Linked DNA regions of Schizosaccharomyces pombe. Each later gene encodes a partner of the first gene's protein in a complex. Each region holds a gene or a part of one and is shown in the gene's direction. Other genes may lie near its edges.

Evidence for each region. The genes of interacting proteins can lie anywhere in the genome.
Region 2: pic1 (region 1) and ark1 share a complex: the UniProt entries of both Schizosaccharomyces pombe proteins name them as parts of the CPC complex.
Region 3: pic1 (region 1) and bir1 share a complex: the UniProt entries of both Schizosaccharomyces pombe proteins name them as parts of the CPC complex.

The regions. Positions count from the first base shown.
Region 1 is NC_003423.3:2,767,211-2,773,043, forward strand, and holds pic1 (INCENP-like protein Pic1), read left to right. Parts: upstream 1-1,997; 5' UTR 1,998-2,060; coding exon 2,061-2,218; exon of another isoform or gene 2,219-2,261; coding exon 2,262-5,160; 3' UTR 5,161-5,328; downstream 5,329-5,833. Other genes in the region: PAN complex subunit Ppk26, read right to left, coding at 1-101, 147-187, 247-341, 390-480; single-strand DNA-specific 5'-3' exodeoxyribonuclease Exo5, read left to right, coding at 5,674-5,833. UniProt on the Schizosaccharomyces pombe protein: Component of the chromosomal passenger complex (CPC), a complex that acts as a key regulator of mitosis. Has a role in sister chromatid cohesion and condensation.
Region 2 is NC_003421.2:139,818-143,588, forward strand, and holds ark1 (Aurora-B kinase Ark1), read left to right. Parts: upstream 1-1,812; 5' UTR 1,813-1,844; coding exon 1,845-2,912; 3' UTR 2,913-3,221; downstream 3,222-3,771. Other genes in the region: serine racemase Sry1, read right to left, coding at 1-376; peptidase Atp23, read right to left, coding at 3,403-3,410, 3,477-3,771. UniProt on the Schizosaccharomyces pombe protein: Component of the chromosomal passenger complex (CPC), a complex that acts as a key regulator of chromosome segregation and cytokinesis.
Region 3 is NC_003421.2:545,255-551,305, reverse strand, and holds bir1 (survivin Bir1), read left to right. Parts: upstream 1-2,006; 5' UTR 2,007-2,157; coding exon 2,158-2,286; exon of another isoform or gene 2,287-2,333; coding exon 2,334-5,198; 3' UTR 5,199-5,501; downstream 5,502-6,051. Other genes in the region: importin alpha family nuclear import signal receptor adaptor Cut15, read left to right, coding at 1-833; tricalbin, C2 domain protein (phospholipid binding) ER-plasma membrane tethering protein Tcb1, read right to left, coding at 5,562-6,051. UniProt on the Schizosaccharomyces pombe protein: Component of the chromosomal passenger complex (CPC), a complex that acts as a key regulator of chromosome segregation and cytokinesis.

The DNA.
Region 1 (5,833 bases):
TTTCTTGTGATTTAGGAACAAATACTGCAGCGCCAGCAGCCTTTACTGGTAAAGCGCGAACAGGTTGAAAAGAGGCCGACGCAGCATTCAGTTTTTTCTTACTAGCGAGGTTAATTATACGTACAAAGCCTTAAAAAAAATCATACACTGAGTATTGCTCCAAATTCTCTGAAGAAGGGATGAAAGGCTACAAACAATCGTAAGCAAGAAGCTTCTCTGAAGTTAAGAGAATACGCCTATACTTACACCATCATGTCGAAAAGCACATCCATTTTCTGAATGCTTACAGGATCCATAAAGTAAGATATTTCTACATAATGTTCGTTTAGCTTTGGAATGGTCTATTAAAAATGGTGGTCAGTCAAGTTTTGCTTTGAATTTCCATTTACCTTTCAAATCAGTCACTGACGGAGACCTGGAACTCTCCCTAGAACGGGAAGTTGGCTTTGGGCTTGCAGGAGAATTCTTCCTCACACTCATCCTGTCAATTTCCAGGCAATCCCAAGCTAACAGTCTGAGATTATAGCAATTTAGTTACAGGTCGTGGAATCAGTAAGTCCCGGACAATACTAATAATGCAGCACAACGAAGTTTACTGTAATACTTTGCAACGCTACATTTTGTTTATATAACAATTTCATAGTAGTAATATTTAAGCATTTGAGAAGACAGTAATTCTAATTTATTTTTTATCTGTTCTTTACATGTAACGGGCAGTAACTATTTCGAAAACTTTAACAATAGCAAGTGTTATGTAGCAGTTGAACATGTCTTCGTAATGCTGCTATCTTTCTGCGATCACTGTAATTTAATTGCAAATCATAAAACCAAAGTAACTGAATTTTTTTTATCTTAACTTCTTCCTTAGTGCCAACTTTTGCGAATTGTTTCAAATGCAAAGCTATGTTTTTCAAGCAATTCGGCCTCCCATATATAGCCATTGCAAGTAAGAAAACTTAGTTCGCAGTTATAAATTCCCTATAGAAACTAACAGCTTGCCAAATTCACACTCCCCTGTTTTGCTATAAAATGCAATAAAAAATTACTGAAAGGGGTGGGACTCGAACCCACGAGCTTTCGCACTAGTGCCTTAAACTAGCTCCATAACCACTCGGACACCCTTCCTTTTTTGATCTGTCAGACAAAAAAGTATATATTATTTATTTAATTAATTAAAGAAATTTTAGGAATTCAGAAAAATATTTAAATTGCTAAAAAGAATAATAACAGACTGTCAATTATAAAAGCATATTTATTACCCTATTCTCTTTACATTGTCCTCTAAAACAGAGTAAGGAATGAAAAGTCTAATTGAGTTAAAATAGCTCAAAATGAAAAGAGAACGGTGAATTTTGTATTGAATAAGCTTTTAATTTTTTGAGAATGGTTACCCATGTTTTAATACATTCTTGAAAACTTAAAGACAAGTGTATGATATTTGGCATTTATCTCTGTCTGATTGGAAAAATTATTTTTAAAAGCTATGGCAAGTATGTGAACAAAAAATGGAGAAAATGCGTGAATATTGTAGATCGAATCATTAAAAAAATCCAATAAATGACAAGCGTATAAAGCATGACAAATTGCTTGTAGCCGTTCAATAGAAACTTTTATGTCTGTGCCGCTTGCTATATACTAAACATAAACAAATGGTGAAAGATATTTGAACACAAACTAGTTAACTCTGTCTGCTGATCAAACGAACGATAGGTTGCATGCATTGGGTTGCTTATTCCACTCAATAATTACTGCAATAAAATCAGCATCGGCATCTCGAAAAAATGTATGGCTTAAAGTGTTACTTCGTTAAAAACCTCTTCGTCGTTAACCGATGTCTATATTCCTAACAATTGTTTATAACATCGGAACTTGATATTTACATTTAAATCTTGAAAACAATAAACCTTTTGATCATTTGTAAATTGGGAAAGCATAATTGTTTATAAATTTAGTTGGAAGCTTAGGTATACAACTACTGTTGTATATTGTTGACATTTGATTGCTTCCACCACCGACCACTCTCCAGCAACTAGCTCATTCTTTATATGTAACCAAACAGGATGGGCTCTAATGGGTCAGAACTATGGTTTAATAAGGAGTTGGAATACTCCCAACAACTCACTAATGGAAAAATGAAAGAATTCTTCTTCCTTGTATCTGAAACCATGGACTGGTTGAATGAACACATGCTTGAAGTTTCCAAGTTACAGCTAGAGTCGTACGCATTTGTTGTTTATCATATGTGCTAATTAGATGGTTAGGGATATATATGAATTAGTGAGAACACCTACCAAGATAAAGGAGAAGTACTCCACTCCTCGTTTAAGTCCTGTACATCGATGTGCGTTACCAACGCCTCGCATGCGGTTAACATCTATTCAACATCAGCTTGAGGAAGCTGCTGTTGAAGGATATAAGTCGGGTGAATCCAATACAGTCAAGGAACCTAAAGAATTACATACTGCTACTAATACAGAAACCCAATTTGATGATGATAGGGATTCTACTAAGCTATCTTCTGAATATGTCAAAGATGATATAGTTAATAAATCTACTAAAGGTGGTGTATCTCCTATTAAAGAAACGAGATTGCCGACTAATTTGCCAGCTTTTAGTCCTACTTCAGTAGAGCGTCGTTTTACTGAATGGAACGTTCCTCTTCGTGAAACTTCGCCTTCCCCATCAGAAACTGCTGACAGTCCTAATAAATTACCAAAGCAAAAGCACCCCGCTTATTCTTTTGTCACTTTACCTAAACGTGAAGAGATTTTGAAAAGACCTGCATCATTACACAGTCGTGTGGAATCAACTAATTCATTTATAAATCAGTTAAATCGCCGGCGTACTAAAGACAACTTAACGAATAATCCTGAAATTTCATTAGATGAACCTATCAAGGCACTACCTTCAACTACTTCTGATGCTCCTTCTTCTTTGTTAAATACCAATGTGTCCTCTAGTCCTTCTAAATTTCGAAAATTCCTTTCATCAGTCATCCCCGCCAAGACAGATTTATCAGCCAAGGAATCGCTCACGTCGTCTACTAGGTTATCGACTTCTTACAAAACTCGTAAAAGAAGTTCAGGAGTCGCCTTCTCTTCTGAAACTGTTACTTCTTCTTCCAAGGAAAGAAAAAGGTCTGTCGAAAATGAAATGCTTAAACCTCATCCAACTATTTTTGAATCCCCTCCCGAAATTACTTCCTTCGATAAATCCAACGCAGTAGAAGCTGAGGCATTAACGGCCAAATTAAAATCCAATGAAGAGAGACTACCTGTATCTTCTCAACCTGGAAGTGATGCCAAAAGTCAAGAGTTTGACTTTTTTGAAGCCAAAATTCCCGATTCTATTGCTAAATTGAACGAGCTAACTGCCTCCAATGAAAACCACTATGAACTGAAAACTTATGATCGTGCCGAACGATTAAGGCAGAAAATACAAGAAGTAAGTTCTAATAAAAGATTAATTCCTTCGACTCCGCCCACGAAGAAACCGATTAATGCAGTTTTAGATGCTGCTAAAAACTCTGCAGCTAAGGATTTGCACCTTGCTAAAATGAAGCTGAATAATAAAAACGACGAGTCTTCCTTAAGCCCTGCAAAAAGTCATGCTGTAATCACTCAAGCGCCTAAGATCCCCCTGATAAGCACATTCACAAGGCTTTCAACCAGAAAGTCGTCAAATGATTTTAATTCTTCAAATTCTAGACCAAGCTCAAACGCTTTGAAATCGGATGCAAACGAAAATACGGACTCTTCTTTGCCGCCTTCCAAGAAGGAATTTATTGAAAAATCTCTGCACAAGTTATCTGAACCATTGCATGATGATTCTCGTCAAAATTCTGATCACAACTTTGCTCCGCATTCACGTCCGATTGCAATTCGTGTGGCCACAGCCTCTCAACGCGAACTTGAGCAAACTGAAAAGCGAAAAGCAAAAAATGGAGCAGCAAATGCTTCAAATATGGAAAGCCGCTCTTCTGAAAACGAAACTCATCGCTTCAAAAAGTTCTATGGTAAAGAACGAGAGTTATCAAACAACGAATTTCCAAGTCGTCAGACCAAAACTGTCACATCAGCCAATTCATCTAACATTAGGGATATGGAACATACTATTTCCGATAAACCTCGTTCTGAACCAGATGCTATACCATCAAGTAAAAGCATGCACTCAAATAAGCCATTTGAGGAAAAATCAGAAAAACCAACGACCAAAAGACTTGTTACTAACCCATCAAATGTGAATGCTTCATGGCATTCAAATATGTTAAAAAGACAAGAAGATTTACGAAAGAAGAAACCGTTAACCGACAACGGTGCAACTTCAAGGCATATGCTAAAATCTGGGTTAACACGCGTCACGTCGAAACCCACTCAAAGGTTTGCGAATGAGCTAGCTGAGGACATGTCATTGGCATTTCATTCAACTATTCCAAAAAAAATGGAGCCTGACTCAGTTACTTCTGTAACTCAGCCTTCTGTTGGTAGTTTGAGAAACAACTTCGATATAGGGACCACTAATAGTCAGAATGAAGATCGAAAAAAGAAGATAGCTGCACAAAAAAATAAGAATCCCGTACATGGTAATGTCGGTCTTACGAATCAACATGGATTCAAAACAATGCATCACAACGTCAACCCTTTTACTAAGCAGAATGGTATTATGAAAGGAAAGCTTCCATCTTCTAGTACTTCACAATCAAATAAACCTTTTATTGAAAAAGCTTCTATGCACGCTCCAGCTAAAGGTAGGAACTCGTCTATGCAGGAGCCCTCTTCTAAATCACCGTTACTGAAAACGCCTAAGTCGAATTATTTTCCTGGATATGGATCCCTATCGCCTAACACGTCTGTGGAATTACCAGAAATAAATAGCGATTATTCGGATGATTCAGATGATGAAGGTAATAAGAAAAAGGTAAATTTACCATCGTGGGCTGAATCACCTGAGTTACGAGAGCAATTAAAACGACAACAAAAGTGGGATCCAGACAAAATTTTCGGTATGATTAAACCTCTGCAAATGGATGAGTATTTCCGATCGAAGGATCGATCGAAGATTCGATTTCGACCAAGAAGCTCTTCTGCTGACTGGTCATCTCAAGATCGTTTGACCCAAGCAGAAATTGATAACTATAAGAAAAACATGGGTTTTTTATAGAGTTCTGGATTTTTGAAATGAATTTTGTATATTAAAGAACTGGGAAATTAATAGAGAAATACTTTAATTTATCTTATGAAACAATTTGCATAGAGTTAGATGACAAAATTAAATTAGATTAAAGGTTTTTGAATCTACTAATAACAATTATAATGAAATAGACCTCCATCTTAGACATTGAAGCATCGCTGATAATTAGTTTTTGTGCCGCAATAACATTAGCCATTAACAAACGTAGTTTGACATTGCCAGAAACTTAATCTACTTGTTCAAAGTTTTAATTTCTTTGAACGAAAAGAAACTGTGAAAGTACTTCTATCATCAATAGTTTAGCACAGTTTACATTGCTAGTTTTGGTTACACTAGACATTTACGTTCCACCATTTTAATAAAACTAGTGTAAAGCTTTTTTACCGTCTGGTTGGTTACTTTAAAAAAAAGAATTATTCTATTAAATGTGTGAACTAACGTAACCCGCACCTGAATAAATCATCCTAACGAAACATTAAGTCTATGGAAGAATATGAAGATTTTGAGATGGAAGATTTGAGCGAATTAGTCTCTTATATGGACTATCTTGAAACACAAAGATTGACTATTAGCCAATTGGATTATTCTTTGAGCATTCCACCACAATTGCTCGTAAGCAGGGAAATTTCTAAACTAGAGGACG
Region 2 (3,771 bases), on another chromosome or scaffold:
ACATGATTACTTGACCACCATAGCCTTTCGTGGCAGCGACCTTGGCTTCGGGTGCATCGAGTGGCATAATGATTTTTGCTGGAATTCCCAAGATCTTTGCCGACAGTGCAATGGCCTGAGCATGATTACCAGAAGAAAACGTCAAAACACCAGCTTTACGTTGAGCTTCATTGAGTTGAGAAAGAGCATTAAGGGCACCGCGAAATTTGAAAGCACCCATTTTTTGGAAATTTTCACATTTAAAAAACACTTCTGCCACAAACTCTTTATTTACTGTGCTCGACGTGAGTACTGGGGTTTTGTTGGCGAATTTCTTAATTCGCTCACTAGCTGAAGCAACATCATCATAGGTAGGAAGCACCAGGTTATCGCTCATTGTCGTAGTTTTTTAAAAATTTAAAAAGAGTGAAAATATCCTTTTATTCTGTAAACTATTCAGTCTTAAAATGCAAACTGAAGAATTTAACGACAATGAGAGATGTCAAATCAAGCAGAGCTCTCGATCATTTATAGAGAGAACCGTCAACTGTAACGCTATCTTATCTTTACTATGAAAAGAAGGTCAAAAAATGCGAGCCCAACTCGGAAACGAATTTATAGGCGACAATTGTAAAGACACTTACACAATTAGAACCAAATGGAAATGAAACAGCAGGACGGAGCTCCAACTTGCTAGTTCATAAAACAGTGACATGTAGCATAGCGAGTATAATGCTAATCACTATTTGTAGTATTCCTCTGTAATAAATGTTAACATTATATAGTGAGAATTTCAAGATGTAGAAACAGTCTGTTAAGAGTGTCATAGAATATAACGAAAATGCATGTATAACAATTGTTTCGACTCATTGAGTGCCAGAATAGTAACGTCTTTCTACCTTTAGCGTGATGAACAGTCATGCAGCATTGGTTAAATATATCAATAGTTTGAACCAAGCCTCGTTAATTTCTGTAAACTGTATCTGCTCAGCAATGGACTTGACTGCAGCTTAAATCAGTTTAGAAATAAATATCCAACAAACGGTGTTTTGACTTTCACATTACTATGCATATAACTCGTTACTAAAGAGTTCTTTTTTTTTATGAGAAATCTTAATCAAGAATGAAAAAGCTGATAATTAATGCTAAAACAATCGCAGAATTATATAATCCGTCATGGTCCAGTGGCTAGGATTCATCGCTCTCACCGATGCGGCGGGGGTTCGATTCCCCCTGACGGAGATTTTTTATCGTGTACTTTTCTAAATTGATTGAGAAATACGATAATTTATTATCAACTACAATTGTTAATTCACTTTTCGGTCCTTTTCTTTTGGTGTTACTCTACTTACTGAATTCTTTTCTTTTCTTGTTAGTTAGCACTGTCTCCTTCTGAAGCGTTAATATTGTAAGTATTCTATAACTAGTATTGAATAGTTCACTGTATATCGTTATTCGGTAAACAAACAGTGGACACATTGAAAAGAATAAAAAACAGATACTAAATATACTTTTAAGCCTGTGGTATTGGGATGATATAGAATATTCTGTTTGTTTTCCTTTTATTTATTTTGTTGAGAACGATACATGTCGTTTTTTTTAATAACATTTGTAGAATCGAAGTGGGTTCGTATGCTAAATAAATTCGTTCATAATTTCCATGTAAATAATCTTTGAAACACCCTTTGAGTATTCATAAATAACAACGGGAATCAGAGCCTCCTTCTTAGTTTGAAAGAAAGGAAGATAATAGCAGGCTGTGTTAAGACTCAGTAAACATGGTGTTACCTCAAAATGTAAACAACAACGCTCCTACTTCTGGACGAACTTGTCAAAAGCCAACATCAGCGTTTTTTTACGAAATAATGTCAGATTCAAAGTTGGCAGATTCTTTGAATTGCCTTTCTGTGTCAACTCCATCAACCACAGCTAATCCTGGGAGACAACAGCTTTTACGACTTGCAGTATCAAACCAACGACAAGTAAATAATGTTAGTCTAGCAAATGGGAAGGAAAACAAACGGACTTCAAATAGCAAGTTCAATTCTTCCCTTCGTAAGATAGAAGAGCCAATTGCTGGAGTACCTTCATCAGCTGGTCCTCAATGGCGAGAATTTCATATTGGAATGTTTGAAATTGGAAAACCCTTAGGGAAAGGAAAGTTTGGAAGGGTATATCTAGCTAAAGAGAAGAAGACCGGGTTTATTGTGGCTCTCAAAACATTGCATAAGTCTGAACTTGTCCAGTCAAAGATAGAAAAGCAAGTTCGACGAGAAATTGAGATTCAATCAAATCTTCGCCATAAAAACATTTTACGGCTATATGGGCACTTTCATGATGAAAAAAGGATTTATTTGATTTTAGAGTTTGCTGGCAGGGGTGAGTTGTATCAACACTTGCGTCGTGCAAAACGATTCTCAGAAGAAGTTGCGTCTAAATATATCTTCCAAATGGCTAACGCCTTATCCTACTTGCATAAGAAGCATGTAATACACCGTGATATCAAACCTGAGAACATTTTATTAGGAATTGATGGAGAAATCAAGCTTTCTGACTTTGGTTGGAGTGTCCATGCACCTTCTAACCGTCGTACCACTTTATGTGGTACATTAGATTACTTACCACCTGAAATGGTGGAGGGAAAAGAGCATACCGAAAAAGTTGATCTCTGGTCGTTGGGTGTCTTAACTTATGAGTTTTTGGTGGGAGCACCGCCTTTTGAGGACATGTCTGGTCATTCAGCTACGTATAAGCGTATCGCCAAAGTTGACTTAAAAATTCCAAGCTTTGTTCCTCCTGATGCACGGGATCTTATTTCTCGTCTATTACAGCATAATCCTGAAAAAAGAATGAGTTTGGAACAAGTTATGAGGCACCCTTGGATTGTAAAATATAAAGATTCATGGACTCGCAAAAGTTCTGAATCTTCCTAACCGCCATCTTGGTACTTTTTATTTAATTTTTCCTTCTTCTCACTACATTTTTGCATTACTACTTTCTTTTTGTTTCAGCGCTCTTTTTAATCGCGCAGCTCACTATATTCCTTCAGAACTTTTTTGATCTTTGGGGGTTATGGAGGTTTAATTATATGTAATATAACACACTCATTTAATAGAGGATCACCACCATAAACTAATCGTTTTCCAGATTTTCTTTTCGAAATCACTTAGAAGACATTCATTTTCCTAATAAAAACTATTTAAAAATTTATCATCACTTTAGCCAAGCTAATAATAACTTCCAAAAAAACTGTTACAATATGTATAAAGATAAAGTACGCCAAGCACATAATAAGTTGCATAACAAGTGAGAAGTATGCTTCGATATTTTTTAAAAGCCAACGTAAATGCTGTACGGGATATTATAAAATGGGAGGGGAAGGGAGTTGACATAATAACTATCTGACTTTTGTAAACTGGTATTTCAATAGACTAGACGAAAGAATGAATAGTTAGTACGAAGAAAAAAATGAATGAACAAAACTACAGCGAACGTACTTTTTTCAAAAGGCCTGAAATCGTTGAAACAGGAATTGAACACTTCTTCAACGATTGCTTCTGCTTGCTCTTTGCTTTTACAATTCGGGTTACCTTGTACGGAGATAGTAGCTCGTCGTTTGACGCATTCTTGATGATGCTTCCGAAAAGTTTTAATGTTACCAAAACGAAGTTCTTTGGTCCAGCGACACTCACCACTCATACTACTAGCACGAATTTCTGAACAAGCCTGATGTCTCAAATTGTTCCAATCGACTTCAAACCTGTGGTCGTCAAACATGTGTATCATTTCATG
Region 3 (6,051 bases), on another chromosome or scaffold:
TTGATGCCCTTTGGGCCATTTCCTATTTATCTGATGGCGCTAATGAGAAGATCCAAGCCATCATTGATGCAGGGATTCCTCGTAGGCTTGTTGAACTTTTAATGCATCCTAGCGCTCAAGTACAGACTCCTGCTCTCCGATCCGTAGGAAATATTGTTACAGGAGATGACGTTCAGACCCAGGTCATCATTAATTGTGGTGCTTTAAGTGCTTTACTTTCTTTGTTAAGCAGTCCACGCGATGGCGTTCGTAAGGAAGCCTGTTGGACAATTAGTAATATAACGGCCGGTAATTCTTCTCAAATTCAATATGTTATTGAAGCTAACATTATTCCTCCTTTAATTCATCTCCTTACGACCGCTGACTTTAAAATCCAAAAGGAAGCCTGCTGGGCCATTTCCAATGCCACATCCGGTGGCGCTCGTCGTCCCGACCAAATTCGCTACCTTGTAGAGCAAGGCGCAATCAAACCTTTATGTAATTTGCTGGCTTGTCAAGATAACAAGATTATCCAGGTTGCTTTAGATGGTATTGAAAATATTTTGCGAGTGGGTGAACTTGATCGCGCGAATAACCCTGATAAAATCAATTTATACGCCGTCTACGTTGAGGATGCTGGTGGTATGGATTTGATCCACGAATGTCAGAACTCATCTAATTCGGAAATTTACCAAAAAGCTTACAATATTATCGAAAAGTTTTTCGGTGAAGAAGACGAAATCGAAGAGCTTGAACCAGAAACCGTCGGTGATACGTTTACATTTGGAACTACACAAGAGCCTGCCGGCGATTTTCAATTTTCGGCGACTAATGCCGAAGATATGGCTATGTAATGATACTTCACATACATTATTCATTTATGCTTGTTTAGGTTTCGTTCTTTTTTAGATTGTTCATTTTCATAAACATCGAAGTGGCTTCATGATTTTGGCTGTGGTCCTGTGGTTTATAATATCGTTAAATTATTTCATTGAGCAATTGAGGATGCCGATTTTTTCATTTACCTTTACGTGTATGGCGCGATTGTTATTAGACGAGATTATTACATTTTAGGAGGTTTACCTAGACATACATTCCGCAGTTGTCACTCTTCTCATTTTGTTATATTGTTGTTTAATGATTGTGCTGGAAAGTTGAACATCTTGTACTTGTTAAATTATTTCTCAAGTCCGTCCTGAGTGTGCGTGTCGAAACGAACTTTTGTTTACTTTTTTTCATTCACTTTCTAACCAACGAATGGTTTATAGATCGTGGTTATTTTGTGAGTTTATTATTTGTTTTATTGACGAAACACAGGAATCATTCAACAGTTTTGGTCTTTGTTGTCGATTTAGTTGTAGCTTTTGGCTGCTCCACTACTAGATACAGGTTTTGTACCTTTGAAACAACATGGGACTAATTCAATTAATTTATTTTACATTGTCTTCATGATTGTACTTCCTCTATTGCTTAACTTTTATTTGAGGTTTTAGGAAGTTCAATATTTCCACCGCATTTGTCATCCTCTTTTCAACTTTTTTCTAATGAGACAGCTGATTCATCATTGTATTCATAACTTTGACCATCGCATCGAAAGAGGAAAATGAAATCAGATTTGTCTTGTTGATATGCATAGTTTCCTTTGAATAGCCATGAAAATGTAGCCTTATTCTTCTTTCACGATGCTCCATACTTTAGAGTTGGAGCTTTAATATTATTATATGTAACAATATTAGTACCAAACTATGATACATTACTTTGTGCTAGCAAAAATCTTCTAGTTAAATTTTGAATTTATTAACAAAGATCATAAGGCTGACATTAAAGACAATAATTGAATCTTCCTTACTCAATATAATATCTAAACCTAGTCATCTCGAAAAATTTGTAACCAGTGAACCTTCCATTTATTAAAGTCTGCTATACTACTTAACGACATTTTACGCAATATAACGACATTGTTCAATTACAGTAAACTCGTGTGCCCTAGCAATCTACAAAAAGTAAACATTACCCATATACGCCTTGCGAGGCGACCTTCCCTATCCTATGCATTTGGAAGTATCTGATATTGTCTAAAGACAATAACCAGAAGTTTTAAAAAAATTAATTTTATAGTTTTAAGGATCGGAAGTCGAAATTTGGTATCTAAATTTCACTTGTTGAAGCTTGCTCAGAATGAAACCGATAACGTCTTCTTCTAAACGCCGATGGAATCGGTTTCGAAGGGAAATGTGTAATTACTCTAAACGACTTGACACTTTCCAGAAAAAAAAATGGCCGCGAGCCAAACCGACGCCAGAAACTGTATGTTGACGATAGAGTTTTCATCTGTGTTGCTAACAAGAAAATAGCTTGCTACTGTCGGTTTCTATTACAATCCAATCTCTGAATCTAATTCTGAAGAAAGACTTGATAATGTTACATGCTATATGTGTACCAAGTCATTTTATGACTGGGAGGATGATGATGATCCATTGAAAGAGCATATTACTCATAGCCCCAGCTGTCCATGGGCATATATTTTATCCTCAAAAAACAATCCAAACCAGAACCCCCAAGCTGCAGCTCTCACAAAATGTCGAGAACAAACTTTTGTTGATAAAGTATGGCCGTATACCAATCGCCCTGATTATCACTGTGAGCCGAGTGTAATGGCTGCTTCTGGTTTTGTATACAATCCAACTGCTGATGCTAAAGATGCAGCTCATTGCTTATATTGTGATATTAATCTTCATGATTGGGAACCGGATGATGACCCTTACACCGAGCACAAACGCCGTCGTGCGGACTGTGTGTTTTTTACATGGAAAGACCCAAATAGCTTATCTCCTACTAAACTGTCTTTTTTATCTACGTCGAACATTGACCCTGAAGACTTGACCGAGGATAATTCCATTCTTCCCGTTTCTCCCACCCGAGATTCAACAAAATCTCATAAAACTTTAAATTTCTCCCCTAGTAGAAAGAATAATCTTAATGCACGTCCTTTAACAATGTCCCTTTATACTAATACCTCTGAGGAGAAAGACTCACAACCCACCCGTGCACCACAAAGTCCAACGAAGCCCGTTTTACTTACGGCTCCAAGGCGAAAAAATAAATCTCCAAAAAAATCAAAGCCAGCAGTCTTTAAACCTGTTAAGCCAATTTTTTCTGATGAAGACGAAGATGACGACGACTTGACCGCCTCTCAACCCTTCTCTAAAGGGATATGTAATGACTCTATGCAAGTAGCCAAAAAGAATTTTACAGAAGAAATTCCACTTAAAGAAGATGAAAAAGATAATGAGCTGGAACATCTTGTATCACCAGCTACATCCGTCCACACAACTGTTTCTGACATAACTGGACATCAATCTGTAACTGATGAAAGTGATGAGCAAAATAATTGTATGTCTACGCCGCCGAAAATTGAAATCGAATCAAAAATTGAAGAAGAAATATCTGTGGTTTCCAAATCAAAGGAAATTTCGTCTTCTGTTTCTTCTGTTGGTAAAGAGCAAAATCATACAGAAAAACAAGTTGCTATCGAAACTCCGGAACAGCAGAAGGTTGAAAAAGAAGATGAGCATTTAAATCTTCAAGGTTCGTTCATAGAGGAGTCCACAAAACAACCAATCTCTTCAAAGCCATCAACTTCATCTCCCGATATGACTGATGCTGCAACAGGAGGTAGAGTGTCTTCTTCAAGCTTCAGAGATAAAATATTACAAACCAATTTTTCACCAAGGAGTACAATAGATTCGTTTAGCAACATTTCAAAAAAGAGAAACTCGGAAGAAGCAAATGATGAAAATGACGAGACCAATTTGAAAATACCAATTCCTGAAAAGAAGAGAAAATTTCAAGAAGTTTTACAATCTAAAAACATTTTAGTTTCGTCTACTGAGGATTCACATGAACCAGTAAAAGTTACAGAGGACAGCCAAACTGCCATTCACGTTAGTAAATTTGAGGATCTTGAGAATAAGAGTATGGAGTCTGAACAGTCACTACAATTGCTTTCTGAATCTGAAAATGATGACAAACCTTTAATTGATCTAATTCCTCTCTTAGCAATTAAAAGGAAGGATAATCTTGTAAGCGGAGTTTTAGAGAAGGGAAAAAGTACCTCAACATCAAAAACAAAGTTTGATACATCAATAGTGGACTTTATAGAAAAACCAAAAACTGAAATTAGCGAAGTGCTTCCTGAGGAAAAAAGAAAGGCCATTTGCGATGAGTCCCAAACGGTTAGAGTTTCTATAGATAGAGGAGTGACCAAGACGAGAGACGTATCAAGTCCTGTTTCCGATGAAAAAAGTGAAAATGTTAATCATGAGGAAGCTAATTCTGGTCATACTGTCATGAATGTTCATTCAAGCCTGGATCCCCAGCCGATCGTACAACCCAATGAACTTGAATCAGGAAGTTACTTAAAGGATCTTCCTGACAGAAACGTCGGAAACTCCGAAAAAGTGACATTTCAAGAAGATGACATTAATTCTCCTAAGCTACAGAGCAAGAACAATCAAACCGTTGAAGCTGTTAATACAGAAACTTCTGATAAATTGCAAGAAAAGGAGGCCAACCATGAATTAGAAAATATTGAAAAGATTGAAGAAAAATTGACTGAGGTAGACAAAGTCTCGTTAAGTGATGCTTTTCCTGATCAAGAAATCAAAAATTCTAGGACTTCTGTACAGAATGGTACTAGATCAGTGTCGAAAAATACACCTGAGAAGGAAACGAAGGTAGATAAAATCGATAATGTAAGTAAAAAGGATGTTGAAACTTCACCTGGTTCTTGTGAAACCTCTTCAGCTTTCGCTAAAACTTACGCTGAGAAAGAAGTAACGAGTATAAATTTGCCAAGTGTCCGGAAGCCTTTAGATGAATCCTACTATGACCATTCGATCAGTCCATTTGATCCATTGTGCCAATCTTCATTTTTGGCTCCTCAAACTCCTGTCAAATCAAAACATGCTTTGCCCTTAGTTGAAGCAAATGCACCACCATGGGAACCCATAGATTTCTCGAGTCTATTAGAATCTCCAGTACCGAATCCTGTAGAGCCAAACAAACTAAGTGAAAAAGAACTGGATATGACCGTTGAGCAGTGGATTAAATTTATGTATGCTAAATGTGCAAAAGAGTTTGAAGAAGCCTGTGAAGAAAAAATAGAATGGTTACTGGAAGAAGGTAAGCGGGCGGAAGAATACATACAAAACTTATAATTTTACATATTGTGTTTCTGTATTTATGGACCGTCTCGCTTTAAGCGAAAATGTTGGCGGGCTACATTTTAAAGTAATGTGAACTAAATTTGTCTGAATGCACTGTCAGCGTCCTTTTCTTTCTTTTTCTTTTATGTTTCTTGTTTTGTTAATCGGATCCTCTTATTATCTGTATTTATATCAACACTACGCTAATCTGGTGATGTAGTCTTAATAATTCTTCTTATAGTATTTATTTTTTTGGCAGCACAATATACAAATATGGTACTATATTTGAGTCAATATGAATAGAATGAATTAAACAACAAGATAGTGAAAGTAAAGTATAACGAACGTTGAAAAGAACCGGAAGCATTACCCATACTACTCAGCTTCGACCTTAATTTCAACAGAAGATGAACCACCAATTACAACCCTAAATGTACCAATAGCATCTTCTTGAAATACCGCTTCACCCAGTTTAGTATGTCCAAGCAAGTTGGAAGTAACGGCTGAAATTCGAAGTTCGTCACCCAAACTCCATTTGACCGGAATCTCTTCGTTCCATGAGGGAGACGGGCCTTTCCGAGATTTGGTTTTAAAGCTGTGGTCTTGATTGTCTGTAACGATAATCTTTATAGTCTTATGAGGCATATTTTTACCTTGACCAACGTATACTTTATACTTTTTCTGTGCCAATTCAGGTGCTCCCGTAGTCTTGTCAATAGTGCTAGTTAAGGCAGCGTTTGCAGACTCAGGTGCAATAGCCGGTGGCACAGAAGCAGAAGAAGAAGCTTCCTGGGTTGTCGTGAGATCAGAGCGAGATGGATTCTTTTCCAAGGAACGCCTAAACATGCCCATTTTGGAAATTCCT